Linked DNA regions of Alligator mississippiensis. The protein of the gene in region 3 interacts with the protein of the main gene of each other region in a pairwise test. Links are inferred from orthologs where the notes say so. Each region holds a gene or a part of one and is shown on either strand. Other genes may lie near its edges.

Region 1 (7,952 bases), on a different chromosome or scaffold from region 3:
GACTGTAGTGTTCTTTTCTTTGAGCACTGACTAAAGCACTGCAAAACCATGCCAAGATTGAAAAAAAAAAAAAATGGAAACTGTAATTGTGAGCAGTTTCATGTATATAACTATGAACAGTAATCAACTAGAAGAGAAAAAAATTAAACCCCTGGAAACAATAGTCTTGGCCAGTGGTTTTCAACCATTTTTCATTTGCTTTGCTTTCATTTAATTTGCCTAACCTATTTTGAATGGAGGTACAGACCCCTTTGGACATTTTGAACGGAGGTGCGGACCCCTTAGAATTGTAAGTGTGGGTATTCACTTACTTTTGATTGATCATAGTCATCTTTTGTGGACCACTTAGATATACTCTGTGGACTGCTGGGAGTCCATGGACCACAGGTTGAAAACCCCTGGGCTAGGAAATGATTGTACAAAGCACCATCAAGACTTCAGGAAATGATTATGAAGCATGGGTACACAGGAAATATGAAATACAGGTCAGGTAAGTGGTTTATAGCAGGACTGTCTTATTATAGCCAGAAGTTTTAAGGAAAAGAAGGTGAAGATAATGTGACACACACCACCATTTCTAAAACAAAATTGGGCAAACCCAAATGAAAAATACAGCCCTACACAAGCTTGGGAGAATAATTCTAAAGGGATAGCCAAAAGAAGAATCTTAAGTACTTCAAGCTGAACTTTTATTGAAACTATGAACATGAAATTGTCACATGTGATGAATTCTGGATAAAGGACACTATTGTAAAACCAGACACTGATGTTGGAAATGCACAGCATACTCCACAGTGGCCACATGGATATGAAGTGGAAGGGCAGAGCCTGAAATGTCTGGTTCTAGCTGAGCATGAACACTATAATAGAAAGTAAAATATGTAAGTGTGCAAGTTACAACCTGCGTAAGCAGAGTTCAAAAGAGCCAATTTATTTATTTAGCTAATGCAAATCTGGGAATCCAAGCAATAGCCTTCGCTAAAAGAGCCGATGAAACTACATGGAATCAGAACTCGTGGTAGAGGTGATATCTTTTAAAAATTATTTAATTGCAAGCTTTCAGCAATTAAAGATTTCTTTTTTTTTGCAAAAATCTAGTTGGCCTAATAAAAGGTATCACCTCTACCACAAGTTCTGATTCCTTTTGCCTCCAGACCAATACGGTTACACTTTGGATACCTGACGAATGAAACTGCGTGACACTCCTAGTCAGCCTTAGCCCAAGGACTATTTGAATCAAATGTAAAGATTACCTTTCATTAGTGAACTACAATTGAATTGTTTTTTAAGCAGAGGTGTTGCACAATACTTCAAATAACAAGGCAAGAATGTGTTGTAAACACTAGGAGGTGCCAGAAAGTAAATAAAGTGACTCACAATTTACCAGTGATTGAGATGGCATTTCTTGCCTACTCAAGGGGTTAGCAGGAATCAGTTCAAATAGCTCAGAACTTGATTAAGAATGAAATCTTTGCAGGCTGAGTATTGTTAGAATACTACAACACACTTTGAAATGATCTGTCACAGTCACCAATGTCCAGGTTTATCAGGGACAGAGAAACAATAACCAGGATCCAGCAAGCTTCTCGAGTCAAGCATAGTAAGTCGGAAGTAATTGCAAAAGGAGCAATGTACCGGAAAACTAGAACATGAAGAATACTAAGAAAAGAATGTCAAAGAGCTATCTTATTTGTAAGTTGGGGGACTGTAAGGTGTGTGGGGAAGCATGGCTAGCAACCTGCCAAAGCAACTGATGGGCAGTTCTAGAGGAGGGTCTGAAGACATCTACACACCACCAAAGTGTACTATCACTGACAATATCAAATAAACTCTTGTCCTTTTATCTGGATTCCTGTGATATTTGGTGTATTTCTTGAAGTCCTAGCTTCTAAAATCACAGGTTTATGTGGTAACCTCAGCTTTCAATTGAAAGAGGAAGCGCCTAGCCTTCATGGTTACGTTTGTGACCCAAGTGCATGCAAACAGCTCAGTAACCATGCAACAATTCAAAGAATACAATGTTTATTTATCAAAGAAAAAAGGAAAGAAAATCATGGTTTTTGAATTCTTGGGGTTTAGTAGTACTGAATGAGACAAAATATTCATCTTTACAAAGGGTGCAAATTTTCTACCTTTTTACCTAAGTTTTCATCCTTGACTTCCTACTTTATTTTTAAATGGCCATGTTAATTTTTTATTCTTATTTTAACTCCATTCATGTCTTTATTTGCATTCAATTTGAATTAAAAAGGTATGTACTCCATTAACTGTGCAGTCAATGGATGCTGACACCTCTCATTATATAACCGTAATGCAGATCAGTGATTAAAGCCAGGAATATGTTCCGTTTCTTACTAGGCTTCTTCTTTAGTGTCATATCCTCCTACATCATTGCCCTGCTACAACTTGCTGTTCACTTCTTCAAGTAGGTATAAAATGAACTCCAGGCCCTAATGCTAATCCCAGTAACAACTTGGATGAGTTGCAGTATTTTACAATTACATTTGTTCCTGCTGACTTACCAGGAACTTTGCCCTTTATATGATGGTTACTTATTTTCCTGTAAATAGCACCCAGGTCAATAGGTTTTTCACACTGTTCCTCTCCAGTTTAAAATAGTTCACTCTTGTTGTGTGATCTCCATGAAATCTCTGCCTATTGTGATGTCAAACCTGAATAGGCGATCATTGTTACCCAATAATGTAACACTCATTTCCTGTGTAAGTCCTCTCATCTTCAAAACAAGCCGCTCGAAAAATAACTGATAAGTGGGTTGTGATTATGAGGAAACTTTTTTTTTCTAGAATACCTTAATTGTTAGGCAGTTGGGTTGTTTAATATTGTAGTAATTAAAGCCAACTAGTTTTAATTCTCTTGGAACAACAGTAACCCCTAACTTAATTTCTTTCAGGTCCTTCAGGCAAAATTGTGTTGTTTACTACTCTGGGACTGATGATATCATGGGAGTGGTATAGAGGTAAATAAGGGCTGCATTTGCCTTTATTTTACAGTCTGGAAGTTTTGGGTCATTCTGGCTTTTTGAATTGTTTTTTATGCAAGGCAATTTAGTTGTTGGAAACCAACTACCTCAGTTGCGATACCAATGCCCCTCTGCTTCACAGAAGGAAACCAGATCTGAGCACTGACAGACCCCATCTCAGGACAAAGCATTCCCATGCTTCCTTATTTCTGTTTGTAGCCAGCCCTCCATAAAGCCAGGGAGAGCCACAGAAGCCACAATGGCAACTCTTTATTCAAAGCGTTTGCAGAGCTCTGTGTGATCTTCCGCAGGAGAGACACTGCAGAATGTCTTGTCACGGAGCGCCACAGGCGCGGATGTGCCCTCTGCCACAACATGTCCCCCTGCCATGAAAGTGAAGTCTCGGTGAGATCACGTCATGAATTGTGCACACGTAGCCGCTCTTTTTAGTGGACTGAGTAAGAATGACTCCACTCTGGTTTCTTAGGTCCTACATCACATTGAAAGCCGAACGGAAATCCCCAAAGGCTCAGGGGCAGTGTTTCTGGTATAGGAGGAGACCTGCCTTGGGGTGTCCACAACCTGGGTGATCATGCGGCCGGAGGGGGGCGCTACATGCCAGTGGCATGGTTGTGTATGTGTATCTGCATGTGTGTGGGGGTACAAGGGGCACGGGACAGTAGTATGGTTGTGTGTGTATTACAAGGGACCCTGGCTGGCGGCATGGTTGTGTATGTGCGTGGAGTACAAGTGGCATGGGACAGTGGCATGGTTGTGTTTATATTTGTGGGGGGGGGGGTATAAGGGACTTGGGCACTCGACATGCTTATGTTTGTGTGTATGTGCATTACAAGGGACCCTGGCGAGTGGCATGGTTGTGTGTGTTGGGAGGGAGGTACAAGGGACCCAGGCCAGCGACATGGTTGTGCGCATGTGCGTATGGGTGTTACAAGGGACTCTGGCCAATGGCATGGTTTTGTATGTGTATGTGTTGGGGGGGGTAAAAGGGACATGGGCCAGTGGCATGGTGTGTGTGTGTGTGTGTGTATGTGTAGTAGTCATTCTGGTGGAACTCAATCAGAGTTTGCAGGTTCTCACTCCAAATGATGAAGATGTCATCGATATATCGTAAGTACAGCAAGGGTTTGATGGTACAGTTCTTGAGGAAGTCTTCTTCCAGGTGGCTCATAAAAAGGTTGGCATACTGTGGGGCCATTTTAATGCCCATAGCTGTTCCCATCGTCTGGAGGAAGTGTTGATTATTAAAAGTGAAATTGTTGTGTGTGAGGGTGAAGTGTATAAGCTCAGCGATATCTTTGGGTCTGTATTCTGGGTTGTAATCTTGTTCCTGTAGATATGTAAGGCAGGCATGGATGCCATCCTGGTGTGGGATGTTGGTGTATAGGCTGGTAACATCCATGGTGGCTAGGAGTGTGTTGCTGGGAAGGTGGTCTATGTTTTTAAGTTTCCGTAGCGTGAGTGTGCGTGCGTGCGTGCGTGCGTGTGTGTGGCGGGAGGGGGGGGTACAAGGGACCGAGGCCAGCTACCTGATTGCGCATGCGCATGTATGTTGCAAGGGACCCTGTCCAGCGGCATGGTTGTGCGCATGTGCACGTGTGTGACGTACAAGGGACCTGGGCCAGCTGCACAGCTGTGCACGTGTTTGTGGTGTGCACGGGGCCCGGGCCAGCTGCCCGGGTGTGGGCGTGCGCGCGTGGCCCAGGGGTAGCAGCGCCCCAGGCGCAACCGCCGCCTCGTGCCCAGGCAGGGAGGGGCGGGGCAAGCAGCCGTGCGGGCGCCTGCTGAGTCACACCGCGGTGCCCCAGGGAGCGCGCCCCCCTCGCCGGAGCAGAAGGCTGAGCTGGGCGTGGCCACGACGTAACCCACGCGCCGGGGCCCCGCCCACGTCGTGACGCGCCGCGGTCTATAAAGGCAGCTGCCGCAGGGGGGGTTGCGCTCAGAAGGCACAGTCCCTTCGTACTTGTAGCCTAGCAAAGCGCAGCGTCGCGCCAGCCTAGCGGGGGCGGTTCCTGCTTCAACAGTGTTTGGACGGAACCTGCCGCCGCTTCTGCCCGCTCCGACCCTCCTCGCCGAAGCCGTAGCCCCGCCATCGCCATGGCCACGTCCCCTTCTCAGGTGCGGCAGAACTACCACCAGGACTGCGAGGCCGCCGTCAACCGGCAGATCAACCTGGAGCTCTACGCCTCCTACGTGTACCTCAGCATGGTAAGCGCCCCGTCCTCGCCCTCGGGCCGTACCAACCCCCTCCGCGGGGGGCATACCATCTCAGCGCCGTGGCTGGGGCGACACATACCACCTCAGAGCTGGGGGGAGTACCAAGTAGGCGCCGCGGAGGCTGGGGGGGCTGTACCAAGTTGGTGCCCGGAGTGGGGGGGGGGCGGGAGTGGTGGCGGCCCCGACCGTGGCGGTGGCGCAGTTGGTGCCGCCCAGCGCGCGGGGCCCTGCAGGGGCTGTTATCGCGGGGCCCGGCCGCACCTGGCGCGCGATAGCGGGCGGCGCCGCCCCCCTCCCTTCTCCTCCCCGGGGAGCCCGCAGCTGGGCCTCGGGCGCACAGGCCTGCTGCTCCCGGGCTGCGGCTCCCCTGCGCTTAGTGCAGCGCATCCCGGGGCTGGTGGGCGCCAACTGCAGTGCTCTAGCTGGGCTGTGCCTTGTGGGTAACAAGGCCGGGGGGGTGGCTCTGAGCCCTAGTGTGGAAGAGCAGGGGTGCATCCTTGTGCCAGCTCCAGGCATCCGGGCTTGTTCAGAGCGGGATTCGCTACTGCGGCCCCTCCCCCGGGCTCCTGACTTGCCAAGCGTGTTCCCCACGGTGCAGCCGTGCGTAGTGCCTTGGTTGGCAGACATCTTCTCCTCTCCCAGCACATGCAGGGGCGTGCCTCGCACTTTACCTTCTGAAGCTAGGCTCAGCAAAGCGAGGTTGGCCCCAGAACTGTCAAAATCGCCCTCTTCATGGATGTTTGGAGTAGCATTGCTCTCTAGACAGCCAGTCTGAGTGTTGGTGTTGGGTGGGCAAGTAAGATGGGGAACATGAACACGGCACTGTCTCCCTGCTGCAGTTGGTCTTCCAGCATCATTTTGGGAGAGGCTGAGGCACCCTGGGCTTTAGTCTGGAGAAGACTGAGGGGATTTAGTAGCCTCTGACTACTTGCAGGGAGGTTGAAGCTAAACCAGTAGTTCTCAACCTTTCTTTTTTTCCTCCCCCCCATTTGTGACCCCCTAAAAACTGTAATGGTGGTACAGGCCCCTTTGAATTGTAAGTGTGGGTATTTGTATACTTTTGATTGATCATAATCATCTTTTGTAGATCCCTTAGACAAGTTTACAAACCCCCAGGTGTCCATGGACCATGGAGTTGAAAACCACTGAGCTAGACTGTTCTGAGTGGTGGCAGATGATGGAACAGGGAGCAACAGTCTCAAGTTGTATAAAGGGAAATTTGGGTTAGATATTAGGAAAAGCTTTCTCACCGGGAGGTCAGTAAAGCACTACAACAGACTACCCAGAGAGGTTGTGGAGTCTCTATCCTTGGAGGTTTTTAAGACCCAGCTAGACAAAGCCTTGGTTGGGATGATCTAGTTGGGGATGCTCCTACTTTGAGCAGGGGTTGGACTGGATGTGACCTCCCGTGGTCCCTTCCAACCCTAGTTTTCTATGATTCTATAATTTGTGAAGTGTTGCTCAGGTGAAGAATACCCATTTCAGTCTTGGAAATCTAAGCTATGATTATGTCTAGACTTTGGTCACAGCATGAGAAAGAGGCATAGTGAGCTACTTAATATCTGGTATTGGGTAGTAGAATAGCTGAGCTCTTGGTGGGAGCTGTCCCACCAATCTTGAGGGCAGTTAATAGCCATTGTCAGTTGGTTAAATGGCAAATTACTACAAGCTCTCCTACCAGTAAACTTTTGCCATCATGGCAGCTGCTTCTCCGTTGGTCTGGCTACTGTATAGTTAGGGCAATACTGAGAATATCTGGGTTTGTAGCAGATTTGCTCCTTATAGCTGTGAGACTTGTTGGCCAAAGTCTTTAGTATCTTAATTTTGTTTTCAGTCTTACTATTTTGACCGTGATGATGTGGCTCTGAAAAACTTTGCCAAGTATTTCCTGCACCAGTCGCACGAAGAGCGTGAACACGCTGAGAAACTGATGAAACTGCAGAATCAGCGGGGTGGTCGCATCTTCCTGCATGACATCAAGGTGAGCAGCACTGCAAATGCACCTCAAGGACACAGAGTACATTGGACCTGCAGCCAACCTCTGTCTTCTAAAGCTAGGCCCAGGCTGGAAGGGGAGGAGTTTCTAAGTCGGTGCAGACTGTCATGACAGTAAGTGAGGGACTGGTGAACAACACTGACCTGACGGCCACTCTAATGCTGGTGTGCGTTGTAAAGAAAGGATGAGATGTGTGTATAGGGCTGGAGTTGCACTAAGCAAGCAGCTGTCTAAATTTTTCTGCTGGTCTGTTTTGTGAGGTTTACACAGGGGCATTCCCTCAGCCCAGCTTGTGCTTTGTGTTGCAGTGATGTGATGTTCTTTTTAGATCCATGGTTACCATGGAAACATGGAAATTATGATGGTGGTTCCAATGGCATGCTGTGCCTTCACCACAGGATCCCGTAGGAGTAGCTGAGCTGGGAGCTGGTACTGAACAGACCTTCAGCCAGTATAGATAATCAACCTGAGCCGCCATGTGTTGTGATTCTGACACTGCAATGTTCCAAGTTCTTCCTTATTGTGGAAGTATCTAATGTCAAAGCAAAAATGACAAATACAAGAGAATACTGCTATAAAAAGCAGGTGCATAGTTTTCTATCCATCTTATTTTCATGCATTTCCTCTTAGTCCCTTCTCCCTGCCCCCTATTTCTGTACCACAGTGGGAACCAACCTTCTTAGACAGGCAGGGTGAGGGACATACCTGCCATATTCCATTTTGATCCCATTCCTTTGTCTG
Region 2 (7,842 bases), about 99 Mb from region 3:
CTGTACAGCAACCATGTCCCATTTAACAAATTATGTTTGTTGCCCGTGAATCTGAACACGCTTGGTACAATCAGAGATGGAGAAGGCCATCCTTACTGTGCTAATATGTAGTTGTTATAAGCAATTAGTAAAAGGAAATATAAATTCTGCCCTTTCCAATCTTAAAAAAACATAATGCTTACAAATGGTGATGCACTGATGACAGCCTTAAGCATTCATAAGTACAAGCAACTGTTGTATAGTATCTTTCTGACACTTTTCCAAGTAACCATTCCTCCAACAGCAAACTGCACTGCACATATAACTGGAGTATGGACAAGGCATACCCATGCTAGCTTTTAGCTAGCTAACAAAGGCAACAATAGTGCTGTCACACCTTCAATACAACTACATCATGAACTTGCAACCAAGAACATACTCCAAATACAGGAAGGTTAGCACCTTCATTGGGTGACTGCTGGTCTTAGTTAACCTACACAGCATTAATGAAGATGTGGCAGCAAGGTTAAAGCTACCCCTGCTATGGACACATCTTCATTTCTGCTGTGGATGCCCTCAGCAGGAAACACCAAAACATGTTCACTTTCTGTGCGGACCCATTCCAGTCCTGGGCCTCTGTCCAAGATCTCCATTGTGAGAGTGTACTGTAAGGGAACTGTATAGTCAATCGTGACCACATGACAATTAATAACTAGCCTAAGGAAGGTTTATTTCACAAGAAGAAGATACCATTTGTAGGAATTATTGGTCTTTCAGATCACTGATTTTAAGGGGGGAAAAATCTTGTATACAGAAGACTTTTCAGGGATAGCACAGAAAGTTAGTGAGATGTGTACAATTTGCTCATGTAGACTAAGATATTACCTTAGACTAGTGATGTCCATCTGTGGGCCAGATCCTGCATGGAAGGCCACATCATTTGGCCCTTGAGTCTCCCCATGGGTCCAGAAATGTTGCAGCAGGAGGAACAGTAACTAATGCAGTCACTGCTCCCCTATCACCAAATTTCCAGACCCATGACCTGATTGACACATTTCTGTAGACTAGTCCTAGCCTGCAGGCTAATAGTTGAGCTCCACTGCCTTAGACACTATGCAGCAACAAAAGCATCTCTCTCTGGTCTGTGGAGCTTTCCAAATAAATCACTTGTACCATACAACAGTTCAAAGCTGCTAGAGCAAGCAGCTGCATGCAGCTTCTGCATCACAGAGCAAAGGGGGCTGTCACTTGGGCAACTACAGAGAGACAGTATATAATAGCACAGGGCAACTTTAAGGCTTCTGACAGATGGCTATAAGAGGCAGCAGATCAGGATGATAGCATCCACTGCCTCCTCAAGGCCTGGCTACAAGCCTGGGCCAATGGTGTCGCTGCCACCAGAGCTGGACCCAGCTGAGTACCAGCTGTCTGTAGAGAAGCGGCAGGCTGAGCTCCTGGAGATCTGCGCTCATTCCAAGTGCCACCACCAGCTGCAGCTCAACAACCTGTGCCACCAGGACCTCAAAGATCCTGCTTTGACCCATCAGACCTATGCTAGAACACACATCTATCCATATTTCAGGCCTGGTGCCAAGACATCAGTATTGGGAATTTTATGTGGGTTAGGACCTATTCTCTTCTTGTGGTAAACCTTCTCAGCAGATAGTGCTTGTAAAGACAGACTGATCCAGGAAGGCAAATATAAGCAACTGTTTCATCTCTCCTCTTGAGCCTGGGAACCAGATGTTGCAATACCGCGATTGGGCCGTTTGCAGAACATCCAACATCTTGTACAACGGTGAGACTGACTCTATATAAAAATAAACTGTATGTTACTCAGAGGGTGCATCTACACACACGCCCAACTACGCAGTTGTTACTGCACAGTCATTTCGTATTTGACTTAGCAAGTACTAAATGACTGCGCAGGAGTAATTTCCAACCCTACTGCACAGTAGCAACAAACTGGTTAGTACTGCACAGTAACATCAGTGTGACTGTTTGTGCCCACTGACGCTATGCTGCTGTAGCTCATCGCTACAGCGACACAGCATTTTGTGTACACTCGCCCTAACAGATGGCACAGCCAGAGAAGAATGACTCAGGGAGAAGTCGGGCTGAATGGGACCTCCAAGTTACCTAGGCCAAGCCCCCGCCCGACTTAGGAGTATCGCTGTCCAAACCACCCTATGCACTCCATCCCCTAAACTCTACGCAAGGCTGCCGTCAGCCCGCACACAACACAGACCTAACACCCTCACCTGCCACAGGCAAAGCAGGGGACCCAGGGTCCTACTTCTAAGAAATGCTGCCAATGTACATTCAAGAGCTCCCAGGATCACACGCCCACTACAGAGGGAGGCAAAGCCCCCCCTGCTCACCAGCCCCAGCTCGTACTGCATCTCCTCCGTGCTTCCCTGAGCTTCAGTGCCCTCCCTCCTACTGCACCTTGCTCAAACCCCAGGGGAGCAGGGACAGCAGAGAAAAGTGCAAGTGGCTACTACTGCTGCAAAGCCCTGCCACCCCAGCCCCCTGACGGAGAAACACCAGTGCTGCCTCCCTCCCGCCCACCTTTTCCATCAGCCTGCTCTGACCATGAGTCTTGCCGCCCGGCATCACCATCATCACTGTGGCTATTGCCGCCGGCTACCATCGTTGCTCCTGCTACCATCGCTTACCTGGCCCGTGATGCCCGTGATGAGCGCGACCTTCCTGGCACTCATGTCGCCCGCCGCGCAGCTAGAGCCGGAGCCGGGACAGGAGGGTGGCTGAGCCATGTGGAACGGGGAGGGCGGGGGGAGCGCATGGGCCGCCCGGAGCCGGGAGGGGGCGGGGCCGCCCAAGGGCGGCGATTGCTCCTCAGGCAACGGCCGCCGGGCGCGCAGGCACTTCCGCGTTCCGCCCCGCCCCGCTGCAGCGCGCCCACCTCGCCCCGCCACACCTGTCTCAACCCCGCTCCCTCCGGGCACTTGAAAAGCGAGAGCCGCCGCCGGCCGCCAATCACGAGCAGCTACAGAAACACGAGCCACCGAACCTGGCGGCTCTCGGGCTGCGATTGGACAATGGCGGCAAAGCCCGACTTCCGGGCTCCCGGGAGGAGGGGGCGGGGCGCCCCCTGCAGGAGGGAGGAGCACACTGCAGCCCGGGCCGCTGCGTTGCTCCTGGCAAGGGGGCGTGGGGCAGCTGGGCATCCCAGGCGGGACGTGAGGTAGCAGGTTGCGCCCACCCCCTCGCATTGGATTCCTGTGCTGCCCGTCCCCTCTGTTCTCTAGAGTCAGGCCAGGACAAAAAGAGTTTAAACTATATACAGGTTTATTAATATATATAATACACACACACACACACAACCCAAAAAGTGATATTAATAAATATATACACTTGTCATATCAGGCTTTAGTCTATAATTGGTGACCAGGAAATGATACCACCACCAATGGCCTCGAACCCAGCACAGGTAAGTAACTGATCTGAAATGGGTAAGCACAGGTAAGTCCAAATAACCAACAAGTAAATACAGGTGAGCAGCAAATAAATACTGGCAAACCACAGGGGGGTGGGTATCAACAAGGGATTCAACAAGACAGATAAATATATATTCAATATACAACAGATAAACAGCAACTCCCATTAGAAATAACAAAATATCAGGCACTATCTACAAAATATGAGGCACATGCACACCCGTCAGTGTACCAAGTCACTGGGAGTACTGGAGATTCCCCTTTGATGCTAGGAGCCTTGGCACTGCTCCAAAAAAGGGGAGAAGGAAGGGCCCCCAGAACCTCTCAGCCCCTCACGGGCTTGCCGGGGACCCCTTCCTTGCAGGGCCCTCTGCTAGACCCCCTTCCAGGGGCTTTCTCCCCTGTGGGAACCCTTTCCCCAGTAACTCGCAGCTCCCGTGGGCTATGTGGGGTCCCTGTCACCCCAAACTTGGTTTCTTTCAGCTGATGAAGATGTAGGCCTTTGGCTCCTGCAGGGCCTCTGATCCCCTCGCAGCCCTGTGCCCCACTTCAGCCACTGAGGGCTCTGCCTGCTGCTCATGGTTGGGGGCTCAGGCCGTCTTCTGTGGCTCCGAGACCCAGGTCCCTGCCTGGGACCAGGTGCACAACGAGTGTGCACGTGAGTCCTGGTTGTGTGCCAGGAAATGGCGGACCCGAGCTGCCTTGAGCAGTTCCCAGGGTCAGGGTCCCACTGCACCACACCACACTACCGGCTCTGGGTTTACGGCCTCACGCCAGGGGTTGCAGACCCGAGCTGTCTTGTGCAGCTCCCAGGGTCTCGCCCTGTGCGCCGCACTATGCACCGACTGGGGCAGAAGCCATCTGCCGCTCCTTCTGTCCAGCAAGAGGCGTCTTCAGGTACTCTTCAGGAAAACAGCATCCACCTGCTGGGCTGCTCTTCCTCAGCTCTTTCAAGCCCCGCTCTCTTCTCCATCTCTCAAAGCATCTGCCCGCGTGTCGGACATGCTGTTCTCTTATCCCCTCTGGAGGCTCTACCCCTGGATTGTAAAGGGATCAATTAAGGTGAGGTGGAGCCCATCTACAACCAGGTGTTCACCTTGCCCTGGGTAGGAGTGGCCCAGCCCTTCCCTAAGTGTGACCTAATTGGTGGGAACAGCTATGGCCGACAAGCCTGCCACAAAATGATACAGTAAATTAATGCACATGCCAATTAAGTCTTTTTTTTTTTTTTTTTTGCTTCAATCTTAGATTGAATGCTATAGCTCTAGGCCCTTATATACTAGTGAACCTTCCAGTTTGTTTTTAACTGGAGAAAGATATGTGTTGTGTTCTGTGTGATAATGCACCACATCAGCTATACCCCCTCCTCTTTTCAGAATCCTAGATCTGGTCATGGGCTTTCCCCTTCAGCTCCAAGAGCAAAGACCGTCAGCTAGAGAAGCACTGGCTCAGCAGTGTGGGAAGGTAGCAACTAAGCTTGTCTTAGCAGCAGGTATTTAAAACCACCAAAGGATGCAGCAGGGCTGGACAGGCAGGCACAGCTCAACGGGCAGGAACAGTGTTGTGCTTCCCATTTGCACTTTCATAATAAAACACCATTTCTATATGGGTGAGAACAAGAACCTTGAGGAAGAATCAGCACAGGATGGCTGTATCCAGTCCCCCTCACTAGATAGCACACCAGTAACTTGTCTTTCCCATCCACTCTCTGCTCTGGAATTCCAGCTTAATTCCATCAATGTTTTACGCTTCTCAGAGCTCCTTCCATCTTACAGACTGAGGTCTCAGTGATTTCTCTTACACAAGGTTGTTAATGACGGAAGCCTCCCTAATTCATCCTGAGTCTTAGGGCAAAGGAAAAAAATGGCAATTGTCACAACTTCTGGAATCAAGAAATTGGGAACCTCAACAAGAGACGGTATGGACCATATGGTGGTGGAGAACTCAAAGTTTGCACACAAATCAATTTTTAATCCAGACTCATTTCTTCTAAAGTTTTGTGGCTGGCAAAACTGATATCTATTGCTAGTAACTAGAGATTAAATAACTTGACCATGCATCAAGTCTAAAACTCCAAAATCATCCCCACACACACACTTTTTAGTTCTTAGCCACTTAATTGTTCTTTTTCTTTTCATCCAGTTAAGAGATATTGATTAACTGTATACACTTTACAGTCCTAGTATCTGGAAAATTGTCTAGTAGCTTACTGGAAGTGTATTCAAATTTCAATGTACTGGAATAGTCTGCTTCCCACAGGTATACTATATACGTTAGTTTCCGTTTATAGATGTTGCCCAAAGCACAGCCCCAGGTATAGCATGTTCAATCAATGTAATGTCAAGGCACAGAGGTATGTATTGTTATGGCCAGGTCCTAGTTGAGAAGGAAATGTTGCTCTGCACAAAGAGGAAAAGGTCTTTGCAGAGGCACTGCCTGGGAACTTAGGAGGAGCCCAAGATCAGTACACCATGCAATTTGCAGCAAACAAAAGCACACATGCACACACTGAGCTTCCATGCAAATGGTTGTTTGTAATACAGCATTTCTAAGGAAACTTTGAGTGGGTGTTCCAGTCTGATGTTGGGGTGTTGTGCTGTATTTAGTAGAAAGATAAAAATGTAAAATACTGTCTACTTCCGATTCTTAAGGATGCTGTGGTACTTTACAATGGTAATTGCATTTCCTAAAATAAAATTTCTTTTGACAAACATTTTCATTTATTTAATTTGATTCATATGCCACCCTACCCAAAGAAGGCTTAGGGCAGCTTACTATAAAGCCCACAAGGCATGAAACAGAAATAGACCTCCCAAACAACATCAAAACCTTAACAATCTCCACACCACTCACTCCTGCTCCCCTGCCTCTCAGGGAACATTCTCCCCACCCAATGCTTCCCAATCCCCTACTCACATCTGGGTCCTTTGCAGACAGACACCGTCTTCTCACATTCCCCAATGTGCACATGTTGTAGACCCACTGCCACTCCTACTCACCCAGAGAACTGTTCTCTCTTCCCCAATGTTATCCTGAACGACATACCTGACTCCGTTCAAGGAGGACTGTGACTGCCCTCCAAAACCCACAGATTTTTCCCCTTGCCTCCCCCTACTCAGCTCAGTAGAAAAGCAACACAAAACCTGGTCTTCCACTAACAGTTAATTAGGTTGTTGATAGAACAAAAAATTGTTACTATTGTTCAGACAAGGTTCCTTAAGTAAATATGATATTATCTTTTATTAGACTAACTAAAAAGTTGGAAAATTGTTCTTTGCAAGTTTTTTAGTTGGTCTAATAAAAGATATCACATTTACCCAAAGAACCTTGTCTGCTATGTGCTTGGACCAACATGGCTACAACCAACAACCCAGCATTTTGTTGACCATGCAATATATTCACAGTTCTTAGATGCAGATAATCCATTAAGCAGATGTACAAAAGTGCTTAATGAATCTGAGCTTCCAATGGGCTTTGTATTGTAAATCCCTTACAGACTTTTGCAAATTTCCTCTTTGAAATAACAACCAACAGTCAACCTCTCCACCCCCCACCCCCAATTTTAACTGACAAGCTATTTTTCTCTTCCCTTCAACAATATAACATTTTTCCTCCCCGCTATTAGATAATATTTCTGCATACAGGTACACACTTGCCATATTTCATTCCAAGAGTGGGTCCAACAGTTTCTGAACCTGGCTTATTAAGCATCATCTAAAAAAAAATAGTATACTTCATAATATGAAAATTACATTGCACCAATAGCTGTTTTTTTTAATTTGTGTCAAAGAAGATAAAAAACATACTATCAAATTAGCTATTCTTACCACCTTCAATCAGGATTCTTCAGTTAACCATTCAGAAAATATTAGTCTCCATTTTAGAGAGAGATTGGCTGGCTCAAATTATATGATCTGCATTAATCCATTCAAGTGCCATCTTCAGAAAGGAAGTATACTTGTTTTGCAGTTGATATTGACAAGATAGTCAATCAGTTATGCTTCTAGCAATGATTGTGGCAGGTTTTGCAGTATTTTGAGGAATTGCTTCAAATTGTTGTTTCTTTCCATTTACAGCCATCATTATACCACAAAGCAGAGGACAACCTGACAATAAGTAATTTAGTAGGCTACACCTTAGATATAGGATTGTTTTTATATGGGGCAAGGATGTCTCTTTAGGTTCTTTCTCCCACTAAAAACAAGCAAACAAAAATTCTTCCAGCAAATATGAGTTTTCATGTTTGGGTATGACTTCTGACTGATATATCTCTGCCAACCACAGTCCCATGTAGTTTTGTGAATCACAATGCATGTTTCTTGGTGCATCTTACATTGCTTAGAGATGGGGGAGGAGGCTGGATTGAGCTCTAACAGAAAAAGTGGCATAAATCATAACTAAA
Region 3 (6,863 bases):
GATCTGGCCTGCAGCTGGATCCCATTGCCCAGCAGCCCCTGCCCACACAGTTGTGGCCCGTTTCCATGGAGACCCCAGCAGTGGGGTCTGTGACAGTGTGGGGCCAGAGTTTCCATGGAGACCGGCCCCAGCATGCAGCTGGGCGGGGAGAGGCTCTGTGGCCGGGGCTGGAATCTTGCCGTGGTGACAGCGTGGGCTGGAGCTGGGGCAGAGCTGTGATCCGCTGCCTGCACATCCCAGCCTGGGGTGTGTGGGCCACAGATCGCAGCTCTGGCCCAGTTCTGCAAGATCCCACTGCAAGATCCCAGCCCCAACGCAGCTCCCCACCCAGCTGCATGGCTTGTCAGCTCTGCTGAGGCAGATCTCCATGGAAACCCTGGCCAGCGCCCCCGCTGCTGGGGTCTCCATGGAAACCATCCACAGCGATGCAGGTTCCATAGCCTGGACTTTACTCACCTCTGTTATAGACTAACCAAAATAGATATTTATCTAGCACAGGGGCAGATCTGGGAAGCGCAAGGTTGCAGTCACACCTCCCACCTTTGATTCCTCTTCCACCCAAGACTTAAAATAAAGGGCCTGGCAGTGGCAGCAGCATTTCTATTCAGGTAGCAGTGAGGGAGTCACTTGACTTCATGGCTCATTATCATCTACTTGATTCTTTCTAAGCTCTTAATTCCACAAGCCTTTCTGATTTGTAAATGGTCTTGCCATACCACTAATAAAGCTAGCCTTTCTTCTTTAATTCTCCTGTCTTTTAGCTGCTCCTGATAATGTAGCTCCTATTTCACAGCCCTGCAAACTGTTTTTAACTTTTGGTGCAAACATTAACTTGGGTGAACATCAACTCAGGTGTAAAATTAACTTTCAGTGAAGCACTGCATTCTAGATTCCCTACCTGCTCACCTCCCTGACCTCCCAAGTACAGAAGGCCAAATTCAGCCCATGACAGCAAGGTTCCTATTTGATGGGGGGAAACACATCTGGACATATTGTAAGAGCCATTTTGGAGATTAGAGTTCTGTTTAATAGTTCAGTCACACCTGCTTGCATAATTAATGGATTAGGAAACCCAAAATCATAGGATCATAGGAAGGGACCTCACAAGGTCATTTAATTTAGCCCCCTACTCAAGGCAGGATTATCCCTGACTAAAACATCCCAGCCAAGTGTCTGTCCAGACTGTTTTTGAAAGTTTCCAAGGATGGAGATTTCACAGCTTCTCTAGGTAGCCTGTTTCAGTGCTTCACCATCCTCATAGTCAGAAAGTTCCTTCTAATCTCCAAATACCTCCTCAGTCTTCTCTTTTCCATACTAAATAATCATCAGCATAAAAAGGTTTTCCCTTTTCATATATTTTTCATATATGATTCCTTTTCACAGCACTAAGCCACATCTCGGGCTGTCATCTGGGACCGAAACGAAGATCTCAGACCCAAAGCATAATCCTCTACTAGTTTTAGTAGCAACAAGTTCTTGATTTTAAAAAAGGCCTAATTGTAGGTTCCTAATCCATTAGCTCTTAAATTATGGCCTGGTTACCAACATTTTCATTAAAACTGGCTACTAAATACATTTTTCTATCTTGTGGTTCTGATTTGGGAATACACTACTAGTACTATATGGTTCAACTGATAGGGGAGAGAGGACAAAGACCACACTGTCTTCCAAACAGACATTGTTACACTATACTTTCCAATCCAAAATAAAATTATTTTAATGAAAAGCAAACCCGTTTTCTTCAAGACTGTTTTTTTACTTCCCTCCTCTTTAGCAAGAAAATGCGTGAAGAGTTCACATGAAGATTTTAGTCCCAAAAAAAGAAAAAAGAGAAAAGTTCAATATATTTCAGTTAGAAATGGGCATCAGCCAGAAACCTCACATCTGTACACTCCAAAATTCTCTTATCCACACATTTAATTGGAGACCTCACCATGGTTTTGATGTGAAGCCAGGAGTTTTAAGAACTGTCTTGTTCTGGAAAAATTTTTTGAGGGTGATATCTTTTATTAGATCAGCTATGCAGTTGGAGTAAAATTAGATAAGCTTTTGAATTCTTTCCCAGAGACCTGTCTAAGTGTCTAACTTTCTTCCAACTATACAGTTGGTCCAGTAAAAGATATCACCCCCTCCTCCCCCCCCCCAAAAAAAAAACAAACCCCACAACCTTTCCTCTCATATTTCCTGGAATATCACTGGTATTTCACTCCAACCTTACCAAAACATAATTTTTCTCACAGCCTTAAGCAGTTGGAGAAAGTGTCAGGCCTGCTTTGAAAGTTGCGCAACAGGATGTACAGGGGCCATAGTAGCTGTGAAAATAGAAAACAGAAGTACTAGTAGGTCAAATATGGACAGTTTAGGTTTGTTGTCAGGAAAAAAGAAGACCTCCTTTGCAATAAGACAGGACAATTGATCATTGTGAGAAAGACCAAATACTTCTTTAAACCCCTCGGTCACTGATTTCCTTATTTCTGTGTGCTAATGAGAAGAGTTTAAAACTATAAAAGGTAAGTGACACCCAAAGCAACTTCTAGAGACCAAACACATGCAGCCCCTTTCAGTTTGACTCAAAACCCCACACACCACTTGCTTGACCTCATTTACAGTCTGAATGCTTCAAGGTAGTCTGGTTCAAGCCTCCCTTGCCTTAGTACACAGCATATGTCAATGGCCGGCCCAATCCCCAGATAGGCAAAGCTATTTCTCATTAGTGGTGCTCAGGTGTCCCCGTAATATCATAAGCATTTATCAATCCATAACTTTTGCATAATTAAATTTTACAAGAGACTCTGGAATGCATTTGGTAAAGCTAGCAGCTTTAAAGAAGACATTGTTTTATGGCCCAGGCATTGAGAAGCCTCAAACGTTTTGAGGTAAAGTGTCTTGCCCTCAAAGAAGAGAGAGTGGAAGGAGGAAAAGGAGAGGAATCAGCCCACAGCCTACTCTCCCCTGCGGAAAGACCTGCAATTTCTGTGGGTGGACCTCTGGACTCTAAGCCACCTCAAGACCCATCAATGAGCTGTGGCAGAGATCATCCTCCAATTGAGGGATTGCTGGTGGTAACCGAGAAGACTTTCAAGCATCTGCAAGTTCCTGGGGCTTAAAACCTAGTCCAGGAATCTCCTTCTCCTGCCACTGATTTAAATGCAACCAAGAGGAAGCACTTGCCTCTACTATGACAGTATTTGCCCCACCAGGTACCAACTATGCTTTCTCTCTGGCTGGTTTCCATGCCCCTGGGAAACTTCTTCATTGTTAAAACAGTGAGGCAGTGAAAGAGATGCCTAGGGAAGTTGTGGACTCCCCATCACTGGAAGTATCCAAGAAGAGGTTGGACAGTTACTCATGAATGCTGCGTGCCCCCGGAGGCTGTGGGGAGCATGGCGAGCTCCCACAGGCGGTGGTGGCGCTGTCAGCGGTGGCAGCGGCAAGCTCCTGCAGGCAGCTGTGGCACTGTTGGCGGCAGGGGCGGCGAGTGGCAACGGGTAGTTGGCGACCACCCGCAGATGCCGCTGGAAACAGCAGCCAGCGGCAATCAGGGACCACCCGCAGATGCCACTGGCGGTGTCCTTGGTGGGGGGTGGGCAAGCAGCAACTGCCTCCAGGCGCTTTTTGCAGGGGTGCACCACCAAGCTTTGGGGGTGCACGTGCACCTGTGTTCACCTTCTACACGTCACCAATGCAGGCACTGGTCAGGGACGATCTAGGTGTAGCGCTGTGTTCTTCTATGGGGATTTCTCAGGCTTCTGGGCTTTGCTGCTTGCCTCCACCCTTACCTTTCTGCTACCTGTTTTAAGCCTCCCTCAGAGGCACTGGGTGTTGGCAACAGCCAAGCCTGGGGACTTCGGGTGCTGGCCGGAGGAGGTTCCTAGCTGGAGGGTCTCGCCCCTCTGCTCAGGGCCAGACGGATCACCAGATTGGCGTCAGGAAGGAATTTTTCCCCCTGGTCAGACTGGTCCAGACTGGGGGGGTGCTTTTTCCGTCCTCTCTGGCAGAGCTGCCTGGCATCTCTTGAGTGCAAACTGACAGCACCAGGCAGGTCGGGCGAGGAGGGCTGTGCCGTGTCAGCCTGGCTCGGAGCAGCGGCTCGCGGGTGCGGGTGCGGGGAGGCTGACACCGGGCTCGGGCCTCTCCCGCTCCTGCCAGGCGCAGGCTCCCTCCTCGCCCCCGCCGCCGCGCTGCTTCTTGCCGGCAGCGGTCGCTGCAGCCGGGTTTCCCGGGGAAGGAAACGCCGCGGACTCGCGCCCGGGCCCGATGGAGCGGGCGGCGGGGGCGGGCGCTGCACCTGCCCCTGCCCGGCACGGCTGCGTCTACACCAGCTGCTACTGGTAAGGGCGCCGGGCACGTGTGCGGGGGCGCGGGGCTGCCCCGGCCCCGGCCCTCCGTGCAGCCCCGGGCCGCGCTGCCAGGCGGGGCGCACGGGAGCCGGGAGCGGCCGGGGGAGCCGGTCCCCGCGGGTGCGGGCACGCACCGCCCGGCCCCGAGCAGCCCAGCAAATGCTGCTCCGGTCGGGGGGGGGGCCGGAAGGGAAACACTGTCTTCTTGAACACTACATCCCAGAGTCCCTTGCAAAGTTGAATTATGCAAAAAAGTGATCGATTGATGCATGCTTGTGATATTGCGGGGGCACCCGAGAGCCACTGCTAAGAAACAGCATTGCCTATCTGGGGACTGGGCCGGCCAGTCGCATCTTGCTGTGGGCTCAGGCATGGGAGGCTCCAGCCAGGCTGCCTGGCCATCCAGGCTGTAAATGGGGTCAAGCAAGTGGTGTGTGGGGTTTGGGTCAGCTGGGTCCTCCCCATCCAGACCCCGCTACCCCCGCGTACCGTGCTCTCAACTCTGCATGTGAACACCCCAGCCTGCCCCGGGGGAGAGCAGGGGCGCCACAGCAGCCGGCGTCCTGCCTCTATGACATGTTGTCCGTTTGCACTCAAAAGATCCTGGGCAGAGCGCCAAGCCCCCTGCTATAAAGGAAGGCAAAAGCCCTCCCAAGCCTGTACCAGTCTGACCAGGGGGTACAATTCTTTCCTGACCCCACTGATGATGGGTCTGACTGAGTGGAGGGGCGAGACCCTCCAACCAGGAACCTCTGGCTTTGGTCCCAGGGGGAGCACTGGCGCACCCCAGAGTCCCCAGGCTTGCTGTAGCTAACCTCCAGTGCCTCTGGGGAGGCTTAAAAACACCCTGACACATATAGCAGAAAGGTGGGGTGGGGTAACCAGCAAAGCCCAGAAACCTGGGAATACCCACGAAAGAACATGGGCACAGCTACGCATAGATCATCCCCAACCAACGGCTGTTCAGTGGCATTGTTAGGATTGTTTCTGTACTATCCTTCTATTTAAAACATTACATGCGTTTCACCACCTGCATTTCTCTTTTCAGGCCAGCTTTTTATTAAAGGGGCTCAAAGGGATACTCAACTCAAGGGTAATTTCTTCAGAGGAAAAGAGAAAGGGAAAAGTCTGGCACAATGCTAACTCTCGATACTGCACAGCATTTATTTTAGTTGGAGCCAACCAAATGCTGCTGCTTAGCCGTCAGACATTTGGACTGCAATACTGTTTATTAATTGTATGTGAAGATTTGTGTTATAAAAAAAACACCGTAGGTCTAAGTTCTAAATTTTATCTTTACAAACAGGTGTGTAAAGGAAGGGTCGGCGGGAAGTCCTGGGCAGAAGCTCAAAGTGGGAAAAGCACAGTGGCTATCCTGCTCTGAGTTTTATGAATTGGGAATGAAGCAGACATTTAAATAAAATCCCTTGTGTTTTACAGTGAAGAAAATGTTTGGAAGCTTTGTGAATACATCCAAAGCCAGGATCAGTATCCATTAGAAGAATTTTATGTTATTTTCATATCCAACGACAGAAAGATGGTAAGTTGTTTTCCATATCACTCATTTGTCACCACCAAATTGAGATTCAGGCCTTTTCACTGTGGTGGGAAGATGGCCCAGGCACATGCATAATGGGAAGCCAAAGAAAGACCCTAAAGTATTTTTGTCATGCATGTGTGAGTCAGGACTGGACAGGAACCTGAGATGTATTAAATCCCTCAGCCTAGTAGGAAACAGATGGAACAGATTGTAGGATACAAAATAGATCCCCAATTAGGAACTCACCAAAAAAACCCTCAGACTAATAGAAGCTTTATTATTATGATTATTACAGATAAAACATAAACCAATTAAGTTTGTCAGCCAGTAGACAATAATTTGTCCTGTAATAGTCTGAAATCTTACCTGTTTGTTTAATCTTACTTCAAAAGAACTTCTTAATACTTGTAATTTGCAGATACCACTTTGGAAGCAGAGATCAGGATGTGGAGATAAACCTGTAGTTTGGGTAAGGCATTCTATTCCCTTTTATGTTGGTTCTTTTACATACTTTTGTCTGCAGTGTTGTATCATCTTTTAGTAGCACATTAAACACTGCAACTAGCATTGCCACATATTTCTCCTAGTATTTCTTCCCTAAATCAAATATTGATGTGGGCATAATGGACAAGATGCACTTAGACTTTATCTTGCAGCTTCACAGCAAGAAGCTTAGCAGTCCTGGGCCTGGCAAGTAGTAGGCAACTGTCAATCCTCTGGAGCATGGTGTACACATAAGAGTAGTCAGATGCCTGATCCAACGCCTGACTGACAAGCCCAGTTTGAGAGTGACACAGCTTGTTACAAGTTTCATGGATCCATATGTTGTCTGAGTTGGAGTCCATATTTACAGCGTGCTGCTTTCTTCTTTATTGCTTTGCTTCCATCCCCTGGATCGAAGCTGCTTGATGTTAAGCTGCACCCAGTGACATGTATGGATAGGTTTCTATGTGCTCCTCCCAGCTTTCTATGTTGATGTTGAG
Region 4 (7,360 bases), on a different chromosome or scaffold from region 3:
GTGGCCGTATAAATACAAACTATCATATGTTGCATCCCACACAGGGAAGACTTGAGCTCTCTGAAACGGTGCAAAAAACATGAGAATCATGGCTCCCAGCTTGGCTAAGGTCATCATTCAGGCTCTTCCAGGGGATCTTACTGGGTGACCCCAGGTGACTATGGGACCATTTTCCAGCCCTTCCTCTGCACATGTCCCCAGAGTAGTTTCATGGGGTGGTATCCACTGGTTCCTTGGACATAGCTGAAGAGCAGCGGGCACCGGCCTGCTGTGCTGTGCTGTGCTTGGAGTCCCCACTCCAATCCCTCGTGATCAACCTGTGACCCCCGCGCCTACCCCAGTGTTTTTCTTTTGGTGCCCCCATAACTAGTTGTATAGTATCTAGCACCTGAACTGAGAAAAGGCAGGCTTATCATTGTGAGGACCACTGTTTTCCAGGATCTAACAAACAAGCCTTAGGATCTTACCACCCTTGGGGGAGGATTTCTCTCAATTTCACCCCACCCTGGAGGGCTGGGCCCAGTGCCCGCTTAACATAAATCTACAGACAGACGTGCATAAGCATACATATACACGTGCTTAACATACATACATACAACCATTTCTGGACAGGACACCGCTCTCCAGTGGACAAGCTTATTTATATTCCACCTTCATTCCACGAGCCACTCAGGACCTCAGCTGGTGGTTCCTCCATGGAGCTGTTGCCACAGGCGTGTATCTGGCACAATTCATGGACACCCCCTACACCTGCCCCTTCTGTGAGCAGAGGGAGACCCTGGCACACACCTACCTGGAGTGCACCAGGCTACAGCCCCTGCTCCAGCTCCTCCAGAACCTCCTGTTCCTCTGCACCATTTCCTCCAGCACCACTCCCTGCAACTTTTTATTTGTGCACTCCACATCTGTGGCCCAACTAAGTCCTAAGACCTCCTGGTCAACCTCCTCCTAGTCCTAGCCAAACTGGCCATCTATCTCACCAGAAAGGAAGCTCTGGCCAAGAGGACCGGGAGGACCCCCAAGGACTGTGGGGCCTGTCCCTCACTTGCTCAAGTCTCTGGGTAGAGTTTCTCCTGGAAGTGCCTACTAGCCCCTTGGACTCGTTCGAGGGCCAGTGAGCACTGTCTGGTGAGCTCTGCTCAGTGTCCCCCCTTGGTGCACTCCTTCTGAACCTCTGACCTCTATTCCCGGCCCTGCTTTGTTATCATTTGTCCCCAGAAATCAGTTGCCACTTTCCCTGTAGCCTTCCTTTTTGAGGGAGGTCTTTAGTTTTATTTAGTGGGCACTGTCTCACAATCCCTTAATGTGGCAAATAGGCCTGGCCCTCACCAAGCTAGCAATATACCTAGGCAGGAAGGAGGATCTGGCCGGGGGTCTTGCAGCAATGGCAGGACTGTTTTTCTGTTCCTTGTCTGATCACATCTCCGGGCAGAGTTTCACAGAGCAGTGTCCACTGGCTCCTTGGAGGGCAGTGGGCACTGTCTGGTGTGCTCTCCTCAAGGTCCCCCCTCAGCGTACTCATTTTGAACCTTTCACCTTCACTCTCATCCCTGTTTTGTCCCTTAACTGTCCCAGGCGATCAGTGATATGTCCTTAGCGGCCTCCTTCATCGAAGGAGGGTTACAGCTCTACTTGGTGGGCTTTGGCCCACGTTCTCGAATGGGAATGGCAAATCAAAAGGCCTGTCCCTCATCCATTCACATCTCCGGGCAGCGTGTCACTGGGCAGTGCCCACTGGCTCCTCGGACTCCTTTGAGGGCCGGTGAGCACTGTTTGGTTATTGTGCTCGGTGTCTCCCCTCAGTGCACTCATTTTGAACCTCTGTTTCGTTCCCCTTCATTTTCTTCTTTAGTTTTCCCCAGTAATCACTTGATGCTCACTTAGATGGCCCGCAAATTAAGGGGGTGTTTAGCTTTACTTGGTGGGCAGTGGCCCGCATTCCCAATGTACATCAGATAGATTTGACAGGACGCCATTCCCTGGGCTCCACTCTCATCCCACGAGTCACCGGGGCCTCAGATGGGAGCTCCTCCACGGAGCTGTCACTACAGGTGTGCGCCCGGCACAGCTCACGGACCTGCCTGATGCCTGCCCCATCTGTGCGCAAAGGGAGATCCCGGCATGCACCTGCCTGGAGCGCGCCAGGCTGCAGCCCCGTCACCGAGGTCCTGAGCGCACAGCTCCCTGCACTGTTTTGTTCACGTGCTCCCCATCCACGGCCCCGCCAAGTCCCAGGAGGTCCTGGTCAACCTCCTCCTGGATGTCACCAAACTGACACCAGATCGACCCAGGAAGGAGGCTCCAGGCGGGAGGACCCCTGAGGACTGTGGCGCTGTTTTCCTGTCCTTTGTGTGTTCACACCTCCAGGCAGCGTCCGCGGGCTCCTCGGACTGGTTTGAGGGCCAGCAGGCGCTGTCTGGCGGGCTCTGCTCGGTGTCCTCTCTCCAGGCACTCGTTCTGAAGCTACGACCTTCGTTCCCATCCCCGTTTTGTCTTTTGTTGTCCCAAGTGATGAGTGATGTGCCTTTCGTGGCCCCCATCACCGGAGGGGGGGGGGAGGTCACAGCTGTAGCTGGTGGGTTTGGCCCACGGTCAGGGTGCCACATGAGGCGGCCCGGCCCGGCAGCGGCCTGGTCGTGTCTCCAGGCCAAGCAGCACTGGGCAGGGCCCACTGGCTCCTCCGGCGCATCCAGGCAGCAGTGAGCACCGCTGCCCCTCGCTCGCTCCTCTCCCTTCACCTGTCTCAGGGAGCCACCCGAGAGCCCCTCCGGCAACGGGCGATGAGGGGGCGCGTGCCTGTGAGTGTGTGCGCTGCGCTGCACACCACACGTACACGTACACGTACACACACGTACACACACACACCGCGCAGGGCGTGTGAGCGCGGGCCCGGGGCGGCCGCACTCACCTGGCGGTAGCGCAGGCGGAAGGGCCGCAGGAACGCGGAGGCGGCGCAGGGCCGCAGCGACAGCTCGTCCACCGCCTCCATGCGCGCGCCGCTGCCCGGGGGCGGGGCCCGGGAGCCCGCACACTCACCGCCACGCCCCCCGCCCCGCCCCGCCCCCGGCACGGGCATCGGCGCAGCATGGACCGGCGCCGGCTCCGGCTCCTGCGGGGGGGTGTACATATATCTATATAGATATATATATTTACATACATACATATGTATGTATGTATGTGTGTGTGTGTGTGTGTGTGTGTGTATATATATATATATATATATATATATGTATGTATGTGTGTGTATGTATGTATGTGCATGTCTGTGCATATATATGTGTGCACATGCATATATATGTGTGTGTATATATATGTACGCGTGCGTGTATGTGTGCGCGTGCATATATGTGTGTGTGTGTGCATGTGTGTGCGCGCGTGCATATCTAAATATGTGAGTGTGCACGTGCGTATATGTGTGTGTGCATATATATGTACGCGTGCGTGTATGTGTGCGCGTGCATATATGTGTGTGTGTGTGCATGTGTGTGCGCGCGTGCATATCTAAATATGTGAGTGTGCACGTGCGTATATGTGTGTGTGCATATATATGTATATATGTGTGGGGGGGGTGCAGATATGCACACATATGCATAAATCTCCACATATACATGTGGATATCCCCACACCTAGATAGATAGCTATAGATACACATGTATGTGTGCTTATATGTGTGTATATGTATACATGCACGTGTGTGTGGATATGTGTGTATATAGAGGAATAGATTACGTGTGTGTGTGCATATATGTATATGTGTGTGCATTTATATGTACCTCAATATATAGATATACATACATGTAAATGTATATATATGCATGTACATATATGTGTGTATATACATATATAGGCACATACACAAATGCATATGTATTTATATGCCTATATTTTATACACATGTATGCATGTGTGTCTATATACCTAATGTGCACACATGTACATGCATCTATGTATACATTGCACACACACACACACATCTGTTTATTTATTGAATTACTCCTACCCCTTTAAAAAAACACCCCCCTGGACAAGGTTATGAACATCTGTGTCTTCTGTAGGGTGTGGAGGTAGCAGAAATCTGGCTCACAAAATGCCACCTCCCTCTTTGTGAGCTTGTTCTAAAGCAAATCTTCACAGAGTTGACTAAAGATTAGTAAATTCAAAACCTAGGGCTTTTGGATTTCTGATATTTTCTGAAACGTGTGTAGGAAGCTGGGAACATAAACCTCAGCACTGCTGCAATGGTTTGCATTTTTGACTTCACGTAGACTGCACGTATATCTCAAGCACATGTATAAATCTCTGTAGGATCAGGCCCATATTGATAAGTAATGGCTTGGTATTTTTTATTCATGCTGCATTTTCTATAACAAAAATCAATTGTGCATAATATTTTGGGAAATCCAATCAGTCAGCCGAGATTAACAAAACCTGCGGCATGCGTTACAGAAAATAGAAGTGTATAATCCATGTCTGCGTGCTAGACTGCTTACACTAAGTATAAATCTAGATAAGAAGATTAAAAACTATTTTTTTTAAATCCGAACTAGAATGGCAGAAAGAACTATAGCCCCGACTGTAGCTGGACCTGCGCGAGCAGATATTTGCATCCATTCAGAATGCCATTGGCTCCATTTCAGCTATGTGCAGTCAGTCACAACAGGCCAGGCCAGGCCTATCTGGTACCATGTCAACCAGTACAGCCTGCTCCATGGTCCCTGCAAGCCAATGGCCATCCATACCTGGAGAGATGGGCACCACCAAATCACTCTGCCTGAAGAATCACTAATGATGCAAAGCAACTCAACTAATCTCAAGGGCTGTTACAGCATCTAAAGTGCCCCAATAGTTGCAGAAGCCTTGGGACTGACTTGGCTTGACTTGCAGTCAGTCACAGGACGTTCCACCCATATGTATGCACTTGGAGAAGTGGAGCCTAAATTACCAATCCTCTGAATGCTGAATACATCTACTACTATAAGTATAATAAATCTCACCAACAGCCAATATTGCCAATTTTAGCAGTTTTATTGAGAGTTTTGCAATATGTGGTATTTTTCTTAAAGCACTAGATTCTAGAGTCAAACGATTTTGTGAGATCCTCAGTGCTTATTAAAAGCGTAACAAGTAAATTTCTTTACCTAAACTTCTACAAATCCTAACACTGCATCCGTGCAGGCAAACCAACCTATAATTTGCACTCAGACCTCATGCTGATACAGGGATCAGTTCCTACAGGTGAGCATATATACCATGTAGATGCAATTACAGGATTGGAGCCATAATACCTGCTACAATGAATAATCAATCCTACTGAACTCAATGGGGGTTATCTCCAGTAGTTGGCAGGATGCTTGGTAGATAGTGTTTACAGGATCAGGTCCTTATTTAATGTCTTGTTAAAACATTCAAAAGTCACCCCGCATCATTAGAGTGGCTTAACATAAGGAGTGGGGGGGGGGGGGGGGGTTTGGTTGTTTATGGGTTTTTTTCCTTTGTTCTCTAGTATTTAAGGTATACTCAATGTACAACCACAACATATTGTCCACCCTTTGTCCTCAGTCAGGAGAAGAAGAAATTTGTTATTGTTTTAATAAGTGCTGAGGACCTCACAAAATCATTTGACTCTAGAATCTAGTGCTTTAAGAAAAATACCACATATTGCAAGACTCTCAATAAAGCTTCAAAAATTGGCAATATTGGCTACTGGTAACATTTATTATACTTATAGCAGTAGATCTATTCAGCAAAAAAATCCTACCACAAAGCTGCATCTGATAACTAAGTTACAATGATACATTTTACATCTTTGGCATGTTTTGCTGATCCTTGGAAGAGGCTCTCTGTGAGTACAGGTGTCCTGCATTGCAAGACTTGGGCCCACATCATGAAAATGCCCCACCATATGCCCTAAAACCAACTATTATGTTTTAGCATTACATAAATGCATCATTTCAATCAACCCTATAATTTGCTAGTTTACCTCCACATGACAGTCCCCAAAACAACTGCCTATTCAACTTATCCTGTTTATTAGACTTTCTCAAATATAGTACAGACAAAAAAACGGAGATTATCTTGGATACTTCAGTGCAATGTTGAGCTACATAATTAACTGATAATAAACTCAGAACTTAATCTCCAGTTTCTCACCCTTTGTGATAGTGATTGTGGGGTAGTGACAACATATCAGTAATGCTGCTTGGTACCTGCACTATACAGGGCATATCTACATGTGCAATTAATGTGCCTGAATTTTCTTCATAGGCAGCCCATTGGGATCAAATTGTGCCTGACAGGAACAGCCCAGTTCAGAGCTGTTCCTGCCCTGCTCTGCCTCCCTGCAGCAGCCAGGCAGAGCTCCCGGCTCCCCTGGGTGCCAGCCCTGCAGCTGACAGGAAGCACGGGAGCCACCAGTCCTGATCCTCACGTGGCTGGGAAAGCTGTCCTTGCTCAGTAGAGATGCTGCCTGCCAGCTATGTGGGGATCGGATCCCCATGTGGCTCGCAGGTGGCATCCCCACTCAGCAGGGACGGTTCTCCCAGCCACATTGGGATTAGGTCATGACCTGATCTCCACGTGGCTGTGATGCAGCAGTTCCGGCTGCCAGGACGGGTCTCCCAACCACATGGGGATTGGGTCAGAACCCGATTTCCACGTACCTGGGATGCAGCAGTCCCAGTTGCCAGGACAGCTCTCTTGGCCATGTGGGGATCAGCATAGCTCCTGATCCACACGTGGCAGGGAGACAGCTGCCCTTGTACCTGGCACAGCTTCCCCCGCTCCCATATTGGGACCTAGCTAGACAGCAGCAGGCTCTCTGCTGCCTGGGCTGACTCAGAGCAAAGATGTGCTGTTACTCTAGTACCTGAATTTCCTGGTACTTGTAAGCAGCACATTACCCTAATTTACTGTACATTAAGTTCCACACATGTGTAGACAGTGACGCTTTACTGCACATTAGATTAGCATAATGTGCAGTAAAGCATCTCATGTGGATGCACCAACAGTGACATTATCTTCAAAGCACTGACAGACAGGAAGTATTGATGAACAGGAATAAATCTCTCTTCTTAATTTACACCTACTGTGTCAGATTTTTCTTTCTGTTTCAAAACCGAGTCGTATTGATCTTGCAGCCTAAAGTTTCTATTCATTCACATTTTGCTGCTACACATTTGCTTACAAGCTGTTTTACGAACGTCATTTCCCTCATTACTGAATTTAAGCAACAGCCACATCATGTCTAAATACCATGTTTTAAAATGTGTAAAAAACTTGCTGTCCCCACTAACTTGCACATGTTGTGAATCAACAGCTACTCATTAAGAGAAAAGGGACTTAAATCAATGCTTTTGAGGCC

What was found.
Region 1: the proteins of NTAQ1 (region 3) and FTH1 interact in a two-hybrid assay, tested with the Homo sapiens proteins (2 studies listed by BioGRID and IntAct). The two-hybrid records come from large-scale screens. The link is inferred for Alligator mississippiensis from reciprocal best matches to the Homo sapiens genes NTAQ1 and FTH1.
Region 2: the proteins of NTAQ1 (region 3) and GMDS interact in binary tests that used the Homo sapiens proteins (3 or more experiments, as listed by UniProt). The two-hybrid records come from large-scale screens. The link is inferred for Alligator mississippiensis from reciprocal best matches to the Homo sapiens genes NTAQ1 and GMDS.
Region 4: the proteins of NTAQ1 (region 3) and NUDT14 interact in binary tests that used the Homo sapiens proteins (3 or more experiments, as listed by UniProt). The two-hybrid records come from large-scale screens. The link is inferred for Alligator mississippiensis from reciprocal best matches to the Homo sapiens genes NTAQ1 and NUDT14.

Annotation. Positions count from the first base shown.
Region 1 is NC_081825.1:179,165,663-179,173,614, reverse strand, and holds the start of FTH1 (ferritin heavy chain), read left to right. Parts: upstream 1-4,932; 5' UTR 4,933-5,095; coding exon 5,096-5,206; intron 5,207-7,049; coding exon 7,050-7,196; intron 7,197-7,952. UniProt on the Homo sapiens protein: Stores iron in a soluble, non-toxic, readily available form. Important for iron homeostasis. Has ferroxidase activity. Iron is taken up in the ferrous form and deposited as ferric hydroxides after oxidation. Also plays a role in delivery of iron to cells.
Region 2 is NC_081826.1:119,358,339-119,366,180, reverse strand, and holds the start of GMDS (GDP-mannose 4,6 dehydratase), read right to left. Parts: upstream 3,011-7,842; 5' UTR 2,757-3,010; coding exon 2,658-2,756; intron 1-2,657. UniProt on the Homo sapiens protein: Catalyzes the conversion of GDP-D-mannose to GDP-4-dehydro-6-deoxy-D-mannose.
Region 3 is NC_081826.1:20,601,395-20,608,257, reverse strand, and holds the start of NTAQ1 (protein N-terminal glutamine amidohydrolase), read left to right. Parts: upstream 1-3,855; 5' UTR 3,856-4,257; coding exon 4,258-4,331; intron 4,332-5,780; coding exon 5,781-5,880; intron 5,881-6,298; coding exon 6,299-6,349; intron 6,350-6,863. UniProt on the Homo sapiens protein: Mediates the side-chain deamidation of N-terminal glutamine residues to glutamate, an important step in N-end rule pathway of protein degradation.
Region 4 is NC_081825.1:290,254,586-290,261,945, forward strand, and holds the start of NUDT14 (uridine diphosphate glucose pyrophosphatase NUDT14), read right to left. Parts: upstream 3,018-7,360; 5' UTR 2,990-3,017; coding exon 2,909-2,989; intron 1-2,908. UniProt on the Homo sapiens protein: Hydrolyzes UDP-glucose to glucose 1-phosphate and UMP and ADP-ribose to ribose 5-phosphate and AMP. The physiological substrate is probably UDP-glucose. Poor activity on other substrates such as ADP-glucose, CDP-glucose, GDP-glucose and GDP-mannose.